4 linked regions of the Xenopus tropicalis genome follow. The protein of the gene in region 1 purifies or fractionates together with the protein of each later gene. This does not show direct contact. Links are inferred from orthologs where the notes say so. Each region holds a gene or a part of one and is shown in the gene's direction. Other genes may lie near its edges.

Region 1 (4,638 bases):
ATAGTTACCCCCATATATAATAAAAGGCACTGAATTTGCCCAGTAGCAGTAACCCATAGCAACCAATAAGATGTTTGCTTTTAAACAGGTGAGCAGTAAATGCTTCTTGCTGATTGGTTGCTATGGGTTACTGCCCCTGGGGCAAATTCAGTGCCTTTGGAACATCACCAAATTCATATCCTCAGTCTGGGGCAGGAGGGGCAGGAGGGCCTGGGGGGGGGGGACCCGGGAATGATGCCATAAAAGGACACTGACAGTTCTGTCTGCAAATGAATAAAGGGCAATTACATAACATGTTTAACTCTGAGCCATAGAGACTGTGGGCAGAGAGTATCGGTGCCGGGGCCTGTCTGTCCTGCTGAGAATTAAGGAAATAAACAGAACAATCATTCTGCATACGGGGCAAATGGGTCAGATTTGGACTCAAACTTCCCCATCATTCTGCTGCTTGTAAGGGTTTGTCTGATCCCCCCCATTGTAAGCAGCAGTCCTGCCCTGCTTTATGGCTGAGATTCTAGCTATCTGTATAACAGAGCATTCTGTCACAGTGGCACAGATCCTATCTGATCCCCCCATTGTAAGCAGCAGTCCTGCCCTGCTTTATGGCTGAGATTCTAGCTATCTGTATAACAGAGCATTCTGTCACAGTGACACAGATCCTATCTGATCCCCCCATTGTAAGCAGCAGTCCTGCCCTGCTTTATGGCTGAGATTCTAGCTATCTGTATAACAGAGCATTCTGTCACAGTGGCACAGATCCTATCTGATCCCCCCATTGTAAGCAGCAGTCCTGCCCTGCTTTATGGCTGAGATTCTAGCTATCTGTATAACAGAGCATTCTGTCACAGTGGCACAGATCCTATCTGATCCCCCCATTGTAAGCAGCAGTCCTGCCCTGCTTTATGGCTGAGATTCTAGCTATCTGTATAACAGAGCATTCTGTCACAGTGGCACAGATCCTATCCCCCCCATTGTAAGCAGCAGTCCTGCCCTGCTTTATGGCTGAGATTCTAGCTATCTGTATAACAGAGCATTCTGTCACAGTGGCACAGATCCTATCTGATCCCCCCATTGTAAGCAGCAGTCCTGCCCTGCTTTATGGCTGAGATTCTAGCTATCTGTATAACAGAGCATTCTGTCACAGTGGCACAGATCCTATCTGATCCCCCCCATTGTAAGCAGCAGTCCTGCCCTGCTTTATGGCTGAGATTCTAGCTATCTGTATAACAGAGCATTCTGTCACAGTGGCACAGATCCTATCTGATCCCCCCATTGTAAGCAGCAGTCCTGCCCTGCTTTATGGCTGAGATTCTAGCTATCTGTATAACAGAGCATTCTGTCACAGTGGCACAGATCCTATCTGATCCCCCCCATTGTAAGCAGCAGTCCTGCCCTGCTTTATGGCTGAGATTCTAGCTATCTGTATAACAGAGCATTCTGTCACAGTGGCACAGATACTATCTGATCCCCCCATTGTAAGCAGCAGTCCTGCCCTGCTTTATGGCTGAGATTCTAGCTATCTGTATAACAGAGCATTCTGTCACAGTGGCACAGATCCTATCTGATCCCCCCCATTGTAAGCAGCAGTCCTGCCCTGCTTTATGGCTGAGATTCTAGCTATCTGTATAACAGAGCATTCTGTCACAGTGGCACAGATCCTATCTGATCCCCCCCATTGTAAGCAGCAGTCCTGCCCTGCTTTATGGCTGAGATTCTAGCTATCTGTATAACAGAGCATTCTGTCACAGTGGCACAGATCCTATCTGATCCCCCCATTGTAAGCAGCAGTCCTGCCCTGCTTTATGGCTGAGATTCTAGCTATCTGTATAACAGAGCATTCTGTCACAGTGGCACAGATCCTATCTGATCCCCCCCATTGTAAGCAGCAGTCCTGCCCTGCTTTATGGCTGAGATTCTAGCTATCTGTATAACAGAGCATTCTGTCACAGTGGCACAGATCCTATCTGATCCCCCCCATTGTAAGCAGCAGTCCTGCCCTGCTTTATGGCTGAGATTCTAGCTATCTGTATAACAGAGCATTCTGTCACAGTGGCACAGATCCTATCTGATCCCCCCCATTGTAAGCAGCAGTCCTGCCCTGCTTTATGGCTGAGATTCTAGCTATCTGTATAACAGAGCATTCTGTCACAGTGGCACAGATCCTATCTGATCCCCCCATTGTAAGCAGCAGTCCTGCCCTGCTTTATGGCTGAGATTCTAGCTATCTGTATAACAGAGCATTCTGTCACAGTGGCACAGATCCTATCTGATCCCCCCCCCCATTGTAAGCAGCAGTCCTGCCCTGCTTTATGGCTGAGATTCTAGCTATCTGTATAACAGAGCATTCTGTCACAGTGGCACAGATCCTATCTGATCCCCCATTGTAAGCAGCAGTCCTGCCCTGCTTTATGGCTGAGATTCTAGCTATCTGTATAACAGAGCATTCTGTCACAGTGGCACAGATCCTATCCCCCCCATTGTAAGCAGCAGTCCTGCCCTGCTTTATGGCTGAGATTCTAGCTATCTGTATAACAGAGCATTCTGTCACAGTGGCACAGATCCTATCTGATCCCCCCATTGTAAGCAGCAGTCCTGCCCTGCTTTATGGCTGAGATTCTAGCTATCTGTATAACAGAGCATTCTGTCACAGTGGCACAGATCCTATCTGATCCCCCCCCCCCATTGTAAGCAGCAGTCCTGCCCTGCTTTATGGCTGAGACTCTAGCTATCTGTATAACAGAGCATTGTGTAATATTGGCATTTAGGGTGCTGGGAGTTGTGCACACAACACATACAGTATATATACAATACAATGTAAGTGTCATTTATTGTACTATGTGCCACTAAGATTTCTTATTTTGCATTTTAGTGGTCTTACGTGGTGGCCACAATCACCGAGATCCCCCCACTCTTCCTGCTCCCCAATTTTCTTGTCCAACGCAAAGTCCTCAAACCGCTGAGGTTCCAGACGGGAGGCACCATCATGGTGAGTGGGACTCAGACAGGATTTGATAGGATCAGCTCCTCATATAGACTCACTAGGCACTTCTATGTGCCAATAAACTCGTGTCAGCCTCTAGCGCCCCCTACAGGATGAATACCCACGGAAGCTGTTCCTGTCTGTTTGTATATGTCTTTTTATGTGTTTATATATATATATTAGGGATGCAACAAATCCATTATTTTTGGTTCGGCCGAATATCTATATATATATGATATAATGAATAAAGTGCCCCCTATTGTAAAATATAAGGATATTGTAAGTCACCTCAGAGTTCCATGACCTGTATAAATGCCTTCGGCCTCGTGCTTTTATACAGGTCATGGAACTCCGAGGTGACATACAATATCCTTATATTTTACAACAGGGGGCACTTTACTAATTATACTATACAAGTTTTGAGTGAGTCATGTGACAGAAATGACATCACTAAACTCCGATTCTAACTGATGACATCACTGAGCACCGTTTATAAGGATATAATTTACAGTTCGGTCCCATAGGGAAATGACCCAACTGTATATTATATATATAAATCCCAAACTGAATCCTGGATTCGCTGTGTCCCTAACCCTAACGACTTGAATAAATGGGGTGCTAAACTGAACCCCCACACTTGCAGCCCCTCGTTAGTACAACATTACACTGCTGCCCACCAACAGGACTCCCAGAGCCCACAGTCCCACCCGTTCCGCCCCCAAACCAGTGTATTTATCCTGAATGAGATGGGGCGTCACTATGGGTATTTATCGGGGTGCTCTGTCCCCCCATTGGCAGAATATCTCCAATTCCCTCAGCAAAATGTTTCCTTATTAAAACAGAAATAACAGGTTTGTTCCTTTTCTCAGGCCGGAAAGCTGGCGATGGAGAGGGGGTGGGCAATCAATGTGGGTAAGTGGCGCCTTTCATTGGCCCAACTCATTTGGCCGATTTCTCTAGATGCCCATGTATTGTACAGCGCTGCGGAATATGTGGGTGCTCTCATGACATCATAATGTAATAATGTCTGTACTTCCTGTTTGGCCCCAGGTGGCGGCTTCCATCACTGTTCCGGCGACAGAGGCGGAGGATTCTGTGCGTACGCCGATATCACGTTGGCCATTAAGGTACCAGGGTGCCGTGCCAGGCAGAGGGTATCCCCTGTCCATTCCCAATGGGGCAAGAAGGCTGGCAAGTCTCCGAGTCTGGGGCGCAGAGTTGGTGTTAGGGGCAGAAAATCAGATAATTGCACAAGGAACATAATCTTAAATGTTACCAATCCTCCCTATACAACTGTCAGACTTACAGGCCTGTAACTCCCTGGTTGAGAATGTTATTCCCTTCTAAGTACTGGAATTTCACCAGTTTTCCTCCAATCAATAGGTACCGTACCTCTCGTAAGGGGGCGGGGTCTGAAAAATTCTAGTTCCCAGTTCCCCTCATAAATATTCTGCCTCTCCGGTGATTAGGAGCAATTCAGGGAATGTATTGGCTATTGGTTGCCAGGGTAACCGATTGATGCTAGATCTATGTTTTTGTATTATTTATGTTCCTTGTTAGTCCCACAGCTCCAGCTATTGAACCCTCTATTACTGTGTCCCCCAGTACTGAACAGGAATGTTAGGAAGAGAGCCCCCTAGGGAATGGGAAGGGTATTG
Region 2 (5,341 bases), on another chromosome or scaffold:
CAAAAAATTAATAAAAAGAGAAGTGTGCCTTTAAGGTATTCTTTTGGTCAATTCTTCCAGTACTTTCTCCTGCTGTCAATGGAAAGCAGCCCATAGCTTTTCCACAAAAATCTGATTGCTACTACAACAAAGCAGCTTTTGTGCCATATGCCTTTAAATCATATCATACTTAAACTATTCATACACCTAAAGATCTGCTTGTTTGGCAAGAGTTTTCCCCTTTATGCCCATCTTAAGCAGGGTGCTGTCAGGCTGATCTGATCATTTGGCCCTCGAGCCAATGATCAAATTATAAATATGCAGGCCATCAGAAGAGGACTGCATCAAAGGGCTGATCCTGTCCTTGCTAAGACAGCAAAATCAAGCCTGCTCGATTGCTATCAGGATTTTTAATCATATAATATTGCTCCTATATACAGCCAATAAGCTGCTGAGCTGGTGTGGAAGGACAGAGTATGGTCACCTTAAGTGATTTTTCAAGAGCAATATATATCTCCCCTGAAGGCTAACTGGCAATCATTTCTACTGAATTCAACCTGCAGTGATTCAGCGCCTGAGTTGGAGAGCCTCCAGACACAGAAAATGCTGACCATCACTATGCATTATGCCCACCATATTTTAAAATATCACTAAATCATTCATAAACAGGCATAAAACAAACACAGAGATACTAAAATGCATATTTTAATATTTAATGAATAATTCATGTGTAATGAATAATCAACAGGAGACATTCAAATTCAGGATAAAGCTCCCAAAGTGCGATTGCTTCTATCAAGTACAAGTATGGGATCCCTTATCTGGAAACCCATTATCCAGAAAGCTCCGAATTACGGAAAGCCCGTCTCCCATAGACTCCATTTTAATCAAATAATTCAGAATTTGAAAACTGATTTCCTTTTTCTCTGCAGTAATAAAGCAGTACATTGTAATTGATCCTAATAAGATATAAATATTCCTTTTTGGATGCAAAACAATCCTATTGGGTTTAATTAATGTTTTATTGATTTTTTAGTAGACTTAAGGTATGGAGATCCAAATTATGGATCCAAATTACGGAAAGACCTCTAATCCGCCATACCCTTGGTCCCGAGTATTCTGGATAACGGGTCCTATACCTGTAAAGTAAAGAAGTCAACGTTAGCAAACTAAATGCTTAAATATTGATCCTTCCTACACACAATTCACATGGTCTCTAATTTTCATACAAATTGCTGACACAATAGATTGTACAATAATTTGCTTAGCAGTTCATATTCAGGACCAATTCTCAGGGAGGACAGGCAACGTCCTGCATGAGTCGCAGTATCTCCCAGTATTTTTTTCATAACGAAAGCAAATCGCGATTCTCTGGGACATAAGAGCAATTGCTGAACTATAACCAGAATATTATTTTCCAGAGTCATGCAGCGCCTGTGTATAGAAGTAAGGCGCTACGCCCCTGTCTGACTGCGACTCCTGCCAGCCTAGTTTTCACACTTTTACCTGTAATTATTTGCGTTAAAGGAGATTAGTCTTATCACGCAGATTCCAAACTACAGTACAATCAATGCCTTCCGCAGCTCTGGTTAAACCTTTACTTCCTGTTCATGCCGATTGCCACATTCACAATCATTAAGTAACCGTGACCGGGCACGCTAGGACTGGAGTTCCCATTGTGTGCCAAATTAAAAAATGGCGTCCGTAGAACTGTGTTGTTCTCACAACCTGGAAGTGATGTCATTGTTTATGTCTCGATCCCTGAGACAAGCTGATACGGAGTTATGGGAGAGTGAGAAGGCAGCTTTTTGGAATTGTTAGGATTATAAGCTTGTTGTATTGCTGCCAGTATTGCACTGTTATCCTCCTACCGAAACCCGACTAATGGAAGGGCTGAATCTCCGCGGCAACACTGAGCATGGACTTCAGATACAGCTGATTAACGTGGCTTGAAGGCCTTTAATAGAAATACGCAATATTGTGTGACTTTGGCAATACCCAGTGTGTTGGGTGAATGGTTAAATGAATGACGAGTTTAAGATGGATAAGTAATGGTCAATAGTTATGCATGCGAATCAAACAGACAAGCTAAGTGTGTGCATGACATGTGCAGGTTGTGTATGTTAGTTCTGGGTACTTAAATTAGCACCTAAATTCTGCTTAGGGTGACAGAGTTAATAGGGCTGTGTGATCTCCCATTCAGTAGTAATCATGCCTTGGCCCTTCTCTGAGTCCATCAAGAAAAGGGCCTGCAGGTACCTGCTGCAACGATATCTAGGGCACTTTCTTCAGGAAAAACTCAGCCTGGAACAGCTCACTTTGGACTTGTATCAAGGCACTGGCTCTCTGTCACAAGTTCCCTTGGACAAATGGGTAAGCCATGTAAATGACAATGTCTGAAATGCATTGATTGAAAATGAATTATCTTTCTATAAACATGGTGTTATAACAGTGGCACATAGTAATCTTAACAGAGTTAAAGGGGAATGGCCATAGACATAAAAATGCACCCATACTGTTGTAGATGCTCAATATTTAATTGTCTTAAAGAGGTGATTTAGATTTTTTGGTATAGTTTTTGAGATAAATGGTGCATTCATGTAACATTTATTGCTACAAACAGCTCAACCATTCTGTTTGTTAGTGCATTGCAGTTTACTGGAATGACGTTGAAGAATTCACAAATAAATTGGTAAATATGTGTATGTAAAAGTATAATAAAGACTATTAGTGAAACACATTTCAGTAGCCGTGTGTTATCCCTGCTTGAGAGAACATACCAGTTTAGTTCTTTATTATTGTTTTTTTTTTTCCAGTTGAAAGTGTTTCTAAGGGTAAAGACACACACTGGGCTACTAGTAGCAGCTACTTTTTCAAGGCTACTGATCTCCAGAAAATACCCTGCCATAGACAATACTGAGAATTTCCTCTGCTAAAGCACACGTAGAGACAATTATCAGTAAATGGTCAGCATTGTCTTTTTTTAGTAGCCACGACAAGTAGCTGCTACTAGTAGCTCTGTGTGTCTTCACCCTTAGTACCTTCTTGTCTATTCAGTAGCCCTTAAGTTCACACATTATGTTTTGTCACATTTTTCTGATGAAGTAACAAGGAGTAAATACAGAGAACTGTCCAATGTCATCTCTTATCATTAGCATGGTACACCTTAACAGTTGTAATTGTCCTCTAATTTTGCTGAAGCTACTTTTCTTCTACCCATTCAACTTGCTGGTTTGACTTCTTCTTCATTTGTGTTCTGTTTTGATTGATGGCATGGTGCAGCAAGATCAAAGGTTCCCAGCAGGAAAAGGGTTAAATTGGCTTGGTTTATTGCCACTTAGACTGAACTAGCAAGCTTTCTAATATTTCAAGAAAGGGCTGTAGTTGCTTAAAGCACAAGCACAAGCACACACATTCTTTTACATTCCTCCAAATCAAAATTTAAGGTACTTTATCTAATAATGTTCTGAATCATTGTTTGAAAGTGTTAGATTGTGGAATGTATTGAATCAATGAGTACTCCACTGTCCAATACTTAAGGCAGATACCTAACTTCTTGTTAAATTCAGGTTTTTTTGCAAAATAAGCTCATATTATACTATTTTATGCCTCCCTCTTGATATTTTACTGCATTTACTGAAGTGTTTTTCAGCCCTATGGAAACTAAAGACATTACTTTTCAGCAATATATATTTCCTATATATATATATTTCCTATTTTGTATGCTTAGACTTTACCAATCACTGAAACTTTGTTAATTAAGCTCATTTTTAATTGTATACATTGAGGAAAATAACTGATTAAGCACGTTTGATTTTTAACAAAAATCTCTTTTTTTATGAAGGTAAACTCTCAACCCACTTTTTTTTATTATTGAAATATTTAGAAAACGTTTTGGAATTTGAATGGAATGCAATTAGTTTCTAGAAATTAGTTTTCTATTTGATTGGTGCTTTACAACAATTGTAGTATTAATAGTTCCTTAAATAATAATTTTCTAATTACAGGTTTATTATAATGAAGTGTTGTAATATCACACATGAAGCAATGTGAACTATGCATTTATTATACTATTTTTCTATCTAGAGTCTAAATGAAATACTGGAGTCAGCAGATGCACCTTTGGAGGTTACAGAAGGTTTTATACAAGCCATCTCTCTCTCCATTCCATGGGGCTCCTTACTGCAGGATAATTGTGCACTTGAAGTGAAGGGACTCGAGATGGTCTTCAGGCCAAGACCTCGGCTAAGTAAGTAAACTTTTCATGATGATTTTTTATACTAGAAAAAACTGGAAAACGATAAGTAAAAGCAATATGTATATTATGAAGTGAAGTAGTTACTTTGTAGCACTCATAATTATGTGATGTGTGTTTTGTAGCAGGGGCACCAAGTAGTGTTTTGTTAATGAATATGTCTTTCATTTACTCAATATTGTCAGCAGATTAAGAATTTGGAAGCGGTTTAATGCAGACAAAGGTGGGTTAGGCACAAGGCTTCCTTGCGTAAAGTTGTCACCAGTGGTAGAGGACACATTCAGAGCTGCAAAAGATATAGCGTGACACAGACAGTTTGTCTTTCAGCAGAACTGTTTATGCTGGTAGTGGTATTATCTCCAAATCGCTCAACTGTCTTAAAGGAGAAGTAAAGGCTAATAAAGAGTTAATCTCAAACTGCAGGCGTACCTTCAGTTCTCTCAATAGTGCCCTTAAGTCTCCCCATATTTCACCCGTTCAGATGATCAGAAGCCTCATAGGAAAAAAAAAAAAAACGCTGAGCTCTGTAAAGAAAGTTCCCATAATGCCTCGCTCCTGCACCAAGACCGTTGTACATGCTCAGTGTGTAAGACTATGAGGAAGCTTCTTGCTGTTTGGCTCAGATCCACATTCCTAAGGGGGGGGGAGTGAGTTCTTAGCATTCTTGAGGGAGTGGGGAGCAGGAGAGGGGAGAGAGCTGCATGTCTCTGGCACAGGAAAACAAACAGACAAGAAATCCTGTTTCTTTTGAAAGAGAACGCTGTGCAGCATTTCTGTAAGTACTTATGGCTGTATTTAGTAATCTAGTTTTTATCTTTCCTTCTCCTTTAAGGCTAAATTTTGTCATAATACAACTATAATGGGGAGATTTATCAATGTTCATGTTTGATTCTTTTTTAGGATTCAAGTTTTTTGTGCTAAAAAAAAACTTGAAATCAAATTATTTTTTAAAAACTCGAATGTCTGGTATTACCCGAAAACTTGAATGTAAAAATTTGCCCTCTAAAAGCTTGCGAGTTTCTGTAGAAGTCAATGGGAGTTGACCCAGGCAACGTCAAGCCATATTTTTAAACTCAAAAAATTTGAGGTATTTCAGTTTTTTATTTG
Region 3 (5,420 bases), on another chromosome or scaffold:
GCTCAATGGCACTCTGCAGCTCCAACCCGGCCCAAGGAAAGCCTCCCATAGGGCTCAATGGCACTCTGCAGCTCCAACCTGGCCCAAGGAAAGTCTCCCATAGGGCTCAATGGCACTCTGCAGCTCCAACCCGGCCCAAGGAAAGCCTCCCATAGGACTCAATGGCACTCTGCAGCTCCAACCCGGCCCAAGGAAAGTCTCCCATAGGGCTCAATGGCACTCTGCAGCTCCAACCCGGCCCAAGGAAAGTCTCCCATAGGGCTCAATGGCACTCTGCAGCTCCAACCCGGCCCAAGGAAAGTCACCATACCGAAGCTTGAATGAATCCAAAACTTTCGTACTTGTTACGACAAATATGATTTTCTTGCGCAAATTCTTGCAAAGTACGGAAATATTGCAGAACATACGCAAAAGTTGTAAACTTTAGAAAAAATACTTATTTTTTTTGTAATCGGACCTGTTGTACCTGATGAATGTGCCCCTAAGTGTTAGCAAGGCACAGGGAGGGAGATGGAGCAGTGCTGGCGGAGGCAAAGTAAAAATGGCCTTCTGCATGACTGTATGAGGTGCAGACTAATTGGAATTGACTATTTAGAAATAGAACCAGGACAAAATATGCATCTTGTTGGTAATTTACCTAAAAAATATTTCCTAAAGTTGCAGCAATCAAGTGTCCACAGGAGGCGTACGGAGGAGTCACAAACAGCTGGTAACAGTTACATAAGTAGGTTTCGTTTATTTAGCACCTGGTGCTAGTGTCACACACCAAGTTTGTTTATTTTAATCCAGAGCAGAGATATTACAGCGGCTCAAATGCCTCCCCATTCTGGTAACTTAAATTTTGCCGTCTGAAGCGAGATTCTCAAGTTCTCATTACAGCTGCGCCCCTGGACAGCATAGAGCAGGGGCAAGAAGGTGGGAAGGGGTTAAACTAGGGAAAACTCCATTGACCCCCAATAATCTGCATGACTTATTAGCACATTAATCAGTGGAACTCTTTGTATGAACTGCGTATTAGCAGCTGTTTATATTGCACATATTGGCCACAATTTTGGCACTGTGCACTTTTGTTCATGGGGGGGCCCCATATAAATAGTTTTGGGGAGGCCCTGTAGGCCATACCTCTCAACTGTCCCGATTTTCGCGGGACAGTCCCTCTTTAGACAGCTCAACCCGCAGTCCCAGATTCTTACTGAAAAGTCCCTCATTTCCCTTTGATCTCCTGCACTGAAGCTAAAAAAGATACAAATATAATTAAAAGTAGCTTTTGGCAGAAAGCCCAGAAATCTTAACGAGCCTCACTTGCATTTAGATACATTGTTTCTCGCTTTTAATGAATAAGGCTGATGCCACACGCATCAAACGCTTGCTGAAAATTCAGCCCTACCGCCTGCTACTTGTGCCTGCGCCCGAATGAATGGAATACGCTCGGGTGCAGGCACATGTAGCCGATATACTCATGAAAAAGCAAGACTTTGCATTCTCACGCCTTTTCATGCGTATATCGGCAGGCGTAGGGCTGAATTTTAAAAATAAGCCCTACGCCGAGTGTGGCATCAGCCTAAAGTGGGCTTTTTGGCAGAGAGCCCAGAAAGGTAAAAAGCCCCCCCCAGATACAATTGTAACTAATAAGCTAAACAGGTCTCTTGGGGGAACTGAGACTCACACCTTAAAGGGCAATTTCACCTTTTTCAGCAAAATTGTAATACACATAAAACAGGACCCCAAAACCCCCAGAAATGTGTTTAAACTTTAAATAACCTGTCAAATTTAGTCAAATGGGAGTGGTATTTAGGGGGTGTGGTCGCAAAAATGGGCGTGGTCAAAAATATTCTGCGGCGCTGTGCGCATTTATTTTTGACCCACTTTTCATTTTCAAAATGTTGGGAGCTATACTGTAGGTAACAATACATAACACACACTTGACCCTCTCCTATACTGCCTTGCTGCCAAATCCTTACTGCCAGGAGCAAAATTTGTAGTTTGAAGTAGCTGGAAAGAGGGAACTACCATACAGAATCCCCTTGTATAGTTGCTATGCCACTGATTTTGGAGGTAAATTTCCTATTTCTGTTGCGTTTTTGGCAATTAAGGGGTGCCTAGAAGTTAGTCAAGGTAGATAATTGTATATAAATAGGGGAGCAGGTTATAGAGGAGAAAGGTTGTGGCATGACAGCCAGTGGAAAGAGGTCAGAAATGGAAAAGCAAATACAAGACAAAAGTACATATTGGTTTGTGTAATAAAGCTTTTTTTAAAAAAAGAAAAAAAAAACCCTATCCTGATTGGCTGCAAAGTGTTCGCCCAAGTCGCTTTGCCTGACGTCAGTTAAATGCGCCCCGCTACTTGACAATGTTTAGAAAACCGAAGCGAGCGATTCGTGTGAGGAAAGCGGAGTCCAGCGAGGAAGAGGAGCGGGAAGAAGAGAGTGAGCAACCCCGGGCCAGGGAGCAGAGGAGGCCAGCCGGCCGCGGCTTATTTTGTGGGACTGAGCGAGGGAAGAGGGCCGAAGCGGCGCAGGGAGACGGGGCTGGGAGTGATGCGGCGCGGAGAGACGGGGCTGGGAGTGATGCGGCGCGGAGAGACGGGGCTGGGAGTGATGCGGCGCGGAGAGACGGGGCTGGGAGTGATGCGGAAGGGGAACCGGATCCCAGTGAAACAGTCGGGACTGCTCCTGTGGAACCCGAATTCTCTATTCGCTTTACAGCCCCGCCCACCCTGCTGAGCTTCGCTGAGGAGAGAGAAGGTGAGGCAAAACTCTGCCCTTGGCCCCAGCTGAACCCAGAGTGGGAAACAAGTCATTCCTTATTCCCTGCCCGGTAGCTCATTCCTTGCCCTGTGCCCCAGGCAGTACAAATATCCCACACTTGGTACCAACACATTGACTTTTCCTTATGAAGAGGGACGTTATAACACAGGGGTTGGCCTCAGTCTCCCACAATATGTTGGAAATTCTCCTGCAATGGCAGGGTCTGGTTATCCGTATTCAGTTACAGTCCTGTTGACTTAGAGATGAAAATCCACTGAGTAGCAATATGCCCCATGTGCCTTTGCCCTTGGCATTTTCTGTATATAAATCACCGTTATCTAAACTATGCCCGGCCATTCTATTGTTGTGTTAAACTGCAGCTCAAACAATCAAGTGCCAGCAATTGTTGTACAACAGTTGAAGGACTGAAAGATGGGCATTCTTGTTTGTATTTTTTTGCCCTCTTCAGTTTTGTTCCCCAGCCATCCTCCATTGCCCACGTCTGGCTTGTATTATGCCATGTATCTAAAGCTTACAATCCAATTTCCTAATTATTGATATGCCTATCGCTCATCAGTAGCAAGTTCCCCTCCTTGTATGGTCACCTGGTCTAATTCAGTTTGTACACATTTAGGGTAATGTCCTATGGAGAGATTAACAATAGAAAAAATGTTCAGCACACCACTTACACCAGTGATCCCCAACCAGTAGCTCGTGAGCAACACATTGCTCCCCAACCCCTTGGATGTTGCTCTCAGTGCCCCCAAACCAGGTAGTTATATTTGAATTCCTGACTTGGGGGCAAGTTTTGGTTGAGTATAAACAAGAATTACTACCAATAAAGCCCCCTGTAAGCTGATAGGGTGCATAGAGGCTGCCTAATAGCCAATCACAGCCCTTATTTGGCTCCTCCATGAACTTTTATGGTGCTTGTGTTGCTCCCCAAGTCTTTTTACATTTGTCTGTGGCTCACGAGTAAGAAAGGTTGGGGACCCCTGACTTACACACTTCCATAGGGTGCTTCAATTTCTCGGCTGCTCCTAAGCCATTCCATGTACTTTACAAAGGGAAGAAGCACACCAATTTGTCGGCCATGCCTTTCAACACATTTATTGCAGTGGCACAAACTTTCGGGGGTTACCCCCTTCTTCAGGTGCAATGAAGAAGAACCTGAAGAAGGGGGTAATGCCTGAAAGCTTGTGCCACTTACTTTCTGCAATAAATGTGTTGAAAGGCATGGCCGACAAATTGGTGTGCTTCTTCCCTATGCAGAGATTAGTCACCGGCGATAGATCTCTGCCACTGCAGGCGACTAATCTCTGCGAAGTGCCTTTCCGCCAGCAACAAAGGGAAAAGGCATATGTGCCGCTTTGGTTTTCAGCAGTCTCTCAAAGGTGCCTGCAGAAAGGAAACTTTGTGCGACTTCGGAAAACCAAAGCGATGCCTATGCCTTTCCACCATCTACTCCCTTTGTTGCTGATGGGAAGGAGAGATTAGTCGCCCGTGATAGATCTCTGCTACCGCAGGTGACTAATCTCTCCATAGGACATTACCCTAAGAGAGTGGATAGCAAACTGAGTTTCTGCCCCCCATGAGGAACATAAATGACAAACCGCCTCGGGGGGGGGGGCAGAAGGCTGGAACTAAATAGAATATTAGTTTGGTGACATAGATAGTCACAGAAGCCCAATGTCAAGGTCAGTAAGAACAAAGTTTATTTGCTGTACTGGAAATCATTAGAACTATTGCTGTTAAAGGAGAAGGAAAGTCATTTTGGCATTTTACTGCCAACAGATTAGCCACATTAGTGCCACCTAGAACACTATATGTATTCTGCAGAAAGCTTTACCATGTCTGAGTAAAGAGCCCTAGAAGCTCCCTCTGTTTGTTTGAGATTGCAGCTGCCGTTTTAGCTTGGTCTCCGTAGCTTCCGTGCTGCAGCTCTAGCTGCTGGTAGCTCAGATCACACACTCTTTTATGGGAGGGGAAGTGAATTGTTATGAATTTTGATGGGAGGGGGATTGAATTGTTATGAATTTTGATGGGAGGGGGAGCAAAAAAACCGAGAGGTAAGGAGAGAGCTTCGCAGACTTTTGTCCATGCCCTGAAGGAACTCTAAAGGACAGGAAGTCTGATACTTAAGAGGATGTTTATAAAAAGAAACACAGGATTTCTTATACAATTGTTGCACCTTAAGGCTGTGAATGCCAGGCTGTTTTAATTCGAACCCCTTTAAGTACACACATCTCTGCCTATTCTGTATGTACTCCAATGGCAGAAACCCTTTTCACTCTGTCTTTTATTTTAGGATTTGTGTGTAAGCCAAGGGTAGTGTTTAATATGTTTTCTTGGTAAAATGGCATTTATATCAGGATGCCTACAGCACAGAGCTTTGGGGGGAGCTGTTGTCCCCATTGAGCTGTCCCTCGAATCTCAAATTACTATACAAAGCATATAGTCCTAATATTTATCTTTTCCCTGTGAAGATGCAGACTTCAAGATCAAGAAGCCCAGTGTCAATGCAGTGGTATTTCAAGTGCAGAAAAAGACAGAAAAGAACTCCATAATTAAGTCCTATAAAAAAGGTAAATGTATTTCTATAATCCAGGAACATCCACCCCTTAGAATATAGTTATTAAACACCAGTTTGTTCCTTTCTATGTACAAGAATTG
Region 4 (4,638 bases), on another chromosome or scaffold:
TTAGACATGTTTGTTATGAGATGGCAAGCTGCCATACAGGATGCTATTCCGTTTCATCATTCTCTAACTGTCGCCTGAATAGCTGGGGTTATGTCTGGGCAGGAGAGAAGAACCTGGGTGTCATCTGTGAAACGGTGCTAGGTGAGGCCTAAAGCTGGCCATGCACTGTAAGGATTGATCTCCCGACCTGATCCAGATCAGAACTTCCCTGATTGATATCACTTGGGAAAAGTAGAATATGGGATACGCTGCTGCCAGTTAGTTGTATAGAGGCTGAATTAGCTGCCATTATCTCCCTTTAAATGTAACATTGCTTTAGTGTTTGGAGTACAGACTAGTAAATCAAATGCATAAAAATCTCATCTGATAATAAACATGTTTTTTCCTCAGATGAGGAAATCTTTAAAGTGAAAAAATCCAATCACAGCAAAAAAATTGTGAAGATGCTAAAAAAGGAATATAAAGACGATCTAGAGAAGACCAAGCCGAAGGCGTCCGGCAACAGTACAGTTGATGGTAAGAGTAATATTACAGTGTGATGTGGCTGGTCAGGGTGGGATATCTGTTCTGTTAGTGCAAGTGAATTTAATGGTAACCTTGCGGCACAGGTGACAGCTTTATGAACAGATCCCTGCCGCCTAAGGATGGAATCCAAGAGGACATTGCTGTGGGCAGCGATCTAGGGGAGGAGGAGATGGAAGTTGAAAGTGAAAAAGAAGAGGAAAAACCCAAAGCCGGCTCATTTACAAACGCAGTGTCTTCTCTGAATGTCCTCCGCCCAGGTAAGTGCCCTATATTTCTGTGGCATCTTTGCAGGTCCTCCCTAGCTGCCATTCCTTGCTACTGGGCACCAGAGGGGCACAAAACGGGCCTGGATCAAGATACTTGTTGGTACAGGTATAGGACCCGTTATCCAGAATGCTCGGGACCAAGGGTATTCCGGATAAGGGGTCTTTCTGTAATTTGGATCTCCATACCTTAAGTCTGCTAAAAAATCAATAAAACATTAATTAAACCCAATAGGACTGTTCTGCCCCCAATAAGGGGTAATTATATCTTAGTTGGGATCAAGTACAGGTACTGTTTTATTATTACAGAGAAAAGGGAATCATTTAACCATGAAATAAACCCAATAGGGCTGTTCTGCCCCCAATAAGGGGTAATTATATCTTAGTTGGGATCAAGTACAGGTACTGTTTTATTATTACAGAGAAAAGGGAATCATTTAACCATTAAATAAACCCAATAGGATTGTTCTGCCCCCAATAAGGGGTAATTATATCTTAGTTGGGATAAAGTACAGGTACTGTTTTATTATTACAGAGAAAAGGGAATCATTTAACCATTAAATAAACCCAATAGGGCTGTTCTGCCCCCAGTTGGGATCAATTACAAGGTACTGTTTTATTACTTCAGAGAAAACGGAATTCAGTTTTAAAATTCTGAATTATTTGATTTAAATGGATTCTATGGGAGACGGGCTTTCCGTAATTCGGAGCTTTCTGGATAACGGGTTTCCGGGTAAGGGGTCCGATACCTGTACAACTAAAAGCAAACAATTGTCTACTGATGGCCTCTGGCCGGAGCCCCCCTGGCCTGACTCTTGTGCTTGTTAAAGGGGTTGTTCATTTTTAATTCAACTTTTAGGATGTCTTTTTCTTAGCATCCTTGCCATTGGTCTTTATTATTCTTTATAGTTTTTTAATTATTTGTTATGGTCTTCTGCTTCTTTCCTTCTTGCAAATAGTTTAGTCCCTTTCCTATTCATATTCCAGCCTCTCATTTAAACCACTGACTGTTTGCTAGGGGTGAACAAGACCATAGCAGCCACCTAGATGCTGGCATGCCAAACTGGAGAGCTGCTGAGCAAAAAGCTAAATAATTTAAAAACCACAACAGATAAAACATGAAGACCAATTGCAAACTGTCTCAGAAAATCAATGTCTGTCATAAAGGTGAACAACCCCTTCAAGGGGCAATATTAATGGGAAATGTAACAATTTTTATAATCACATTTTTTGTTCAAAACTGATTATTGTTTTATATGTTTGTACCTTAAAGTGATACTGACATTAAAAATGTAGTCCTCAAAATAATGGTGTACATCAAAAGTTAGCTATGGGTTATACTGATTGTTTTTTGCCCAGGTGTCTGCTTATTTAGTAAAGTTACATGATGTCTAAAACCCGACTGTTTTGCAAACCCGACTGGCACTTCTCAACCTGTCAATTACTGTTTCACTTCACTGATATCAGCTGGGCGGTTCTATTCCCCTTACTTCCTTGCAGTCTGTGCCTCCCCCACATCAAAGACATCAAGATACTTTCACGGAGCGCTGCCTGTAAGTGTCTTCTCAATAAATCTTTGCACCAGAGCTATACTAATTAGTCCTGCTGTGATTTATTATTTGAAAGGAATGCGCTCCCATATAGATAAAAAGTATACACTCTGCGTGTGTCTGCTATAGAGCATACATGACAGAGAGGGCCAGTTCAAAGGGTATCAGAGAAAATATGCTTAGAAAGGGATACAAATACCTCATTCCTAAACACCACTGTTCACTGTTGTACTTCAGCATTAAAAGATTTCATTAGAAATAGTTTGTATGTGCAGCACTGATTCCGATTGGCTAGGATTTTTAAACTAAAATTAAGGGGAGTGTTTTCAAACAACAACAAACTGCTACTGCCCAAACATGGCAGCCCCCTCAGAGAGGAACCCATGAGACCAGAATGGCATTGTAAAAGTGATAGCTATATGGTTATAGGTTGAAATTAAAGAGATAATACAATGATAAAGCAAATGAAAGGTTTAAAAAACATAATTATTTTTGGTGTCAGTATTACTTTAAAACCGCCAGATATAGTGGAATCCTTTGAGCACACACTCACTGGAGTGCTTGATTCTCTATTCTTTTCTACATGGGCTGCAGCCTCAGCAATTGCCAATTTGTTTTTCTCCAGGAGAGATACCAGACGCTGCGTTCATCCATGCAGCGCGTAAGAAGAGACAGATGGCTCGAGAACTTGGAGATGCCCCATCTGTAGATGGTGAGGGGGGTGGTAAAAGCCGACTGGTGCGTGAAGATGAAAACGACGCAAGTGATGATGAAGATGATGATAAGAGGCGAATAGTCTTTTCCGTTCGAGAGAAATCTCAGAGGCAGAAAATAGCGGAGGAAATTGGTAAGTGTTGCTGTTTCCCTGTGTGATAGATGTAGGGAGTGTGTGGGGGGTCATAATATTATATCTCATAATATACTGTAGGTAATGTTTAACACAAGGAGTACACTACACAACTGTGCAAACAGACCCCCCCACACACTCCCTACAATAGAAACCTTCAGTAATATTCAAATGGCCAGTAAGGGAAGGTTTTTGGCACTTTGGTTTGCATTTTTATTTAGAAACATAATGCCGAAAAGTGCCCATTTGCCTAACTGGCATTCTTGTGGAATTAAATTGGGTAAATTGGTACAACTTTTCCACAGTTGAGCTTGTTTTTTACCTTTAGTTGCATTTGGCTCTTGCTAATAAAGGAATGTTTTTTTCCCACCTAATTTTCTATTATTTTTACAGGAATAGAAGGAAGTGATGATGAGGCTTTAGCAACGGGAGACCAAGATGAAGAGCTCAGCCGCTGGGAGCAGGAACAGATTCGGAAGGGAATTAGTATTCCGCAGGCATGTATTACAGACATCACTGTTGAACAAAGAATAGATTGTCAGCACCTCTGGCAGATTCTTGTGTGCAGAAAACACAGCTGCCTAGGATCTCTTGCTTTATGACTTACTAAATCTTAATACCCTTATTATATCATTTATGTTTCAGATATAGTATTTTTAATATAAAGGATCTGTGCCCGAACATGGACCAAACACAAGTGTTCACAATTTATAGGGATGAATTATCAGAAACCGTTCTGTAACCATTAATCTTGCAGATTTCTCTAAAACACAATTGTACTGCCTTCATCAAGGCAGTTTAGCTACAGCATTTAGCATTGGCTGTTAGTAGACATTGGAACAGGAACCTGATGGTTTCATGTAGTCTGTATGAGCCAGGTCTATTCTTTTCAATTGTACCTGGATTTTCCTATTCAGCTTGCCTTTCTGCTCTCAATCCCTAGGTGCTGCCTCATACCCAGAGACACATAAGATAGCAAGATCTGCATTCCAGTGATGGAAAACAGAAGGAATTCTGTTCACTATCATTGGAACAGTGGGGATAGATGTATTCTTGTTGATGTATTATTGCCCTTAGACACCTGACTTGTGCTCTGGTAAACTTTCTGCACTGCACGTTTGAGTGATGTTGCCCCCTCATCATTTCCCTAGCAGCCAATCAGCAGAACAGTGGGAATATAACAGCTCCCTGATACTTGCTCCCATGCCCCACCTAGTTGTGGGTATGAGATAAGCACTTGATGGTCCGACCATGACTCCTCCAGTTACATTGAGTAAGAGAAACAATAACTTATCTGAAAGCAGTTGCATTGTGAAGTGCTGACTCTTTCTGAAAGGGCAGAATCAGGCAGAAGGACCTGACATGGCTGCCTACATACCAGTGTTATAACTTAAAAAAAAATTATTTGTTCAAGCATAAAATTTTAAATGGTAGAATTACTTGCAATGTACAC

The links.
Region 2: the proteins of hdac11 (region 1) and atg2b purify together in Homo sapiens (co-immunoprecipitation; 3 studies listed by BioGRID and IntAct, counting the BioPlex papers as one, with this or other methods). This does not show direct contact. The link is inferred for Xenopus tropicalis from reciprocal best matches to the Homo sapiens genes HDAC11 and ATG2B.
Region 3: the proteins of hdac11 (region 1) and gcfc2 purify together in Homo sapiens (co-immunoprecipitation; 3 studies listed by BioGRID and IntAct, counting the BioPlex papers as one, with this or other methods). This does not show direct contact. The link is inferred for Xenopus tropicalis from reciprocal best matches to the Homo sapiens genes HDAC11 and GCFC2.
Region 4: the proteins of hdac11 (region 1) and paxbp1 purify together in Homo sapiens (co-immunoprecipitation; 3 studies listed by BioGRID and IntAct, counting the BioPlex papers as one, with this or other methods). This does not show direct contact. The link is inferred for Xenopus tropicalis from reciprocal best matches to the Homo sapiens genes HDAC11 and PAXBP1.

Annotation. Positions count from the first base shown.
Region 1 is NC_030680.2:152,345,576-152,350,213, forward strand, and holds part of hdac11 (histone deacetylase 11), read left to right. Parts: intron 1-2,869; coding exon 2,870-2,986; intron 2,987-3,849; coding exon 3,850-3,892; intron 3,893-4,030; coding exon 4,031-4,107; intron 4,108-4,638. UniProt on the Homo sapiens protein: Responsible for the deacetylation of lysine residues on the N-terminal part of the core histones (H2A, H2B, H3 and H4).
Region 2 is NC_030684.2:89,146,458-89,151,798, reverse strand, and holds the start of atg2b (autophagy-related protein 2 homolog B), read left to right. Parts: upstream 1-1,773; 5' UTR 1,774-2,190; coding exon 2,191-2,352; intron 2,353-4,065; coding exon 4,066-4,228; intron 4,229-5,341. UniProt on the Homo sapiens protein: Lipid transfer protein required for both autophagosome formation and regulation of lipid droplet morphology and dispersion.
Region 3 is NC_030681.2:145,848,933-145,854,352, reverse strand, and holds the start of gcfc2 (GC-rich sequence DNA-binding factor 2), read left to right. Parts: upstream 1-2,291; 5' UTR 2,292-2,350; coding exon 2,351-2,744; intron 2,745-5,233; coding exon 5,234-5,332; intron 5,333-5,420.
Region 4 is NC_030678.2:15,091,877-15,096,514, forward strand, and holds part of paxbp1 (PAX3- and PAX7-binding protein 1), read left to right. Parts: intron 1-390; coding exon 391-516; intron 517-608; coding exon 609-782; intron 783-2,963; coding exon 2,964-3,185; intron 3,186-3,578; coding exon 3,579-3,682; intron 3,683-4,638. UniProt on the Homo sapiens protein: Adapter protein linking the transcription factors PAX3 and PAX7 to the histone methylation machinery and involved in myogenesis.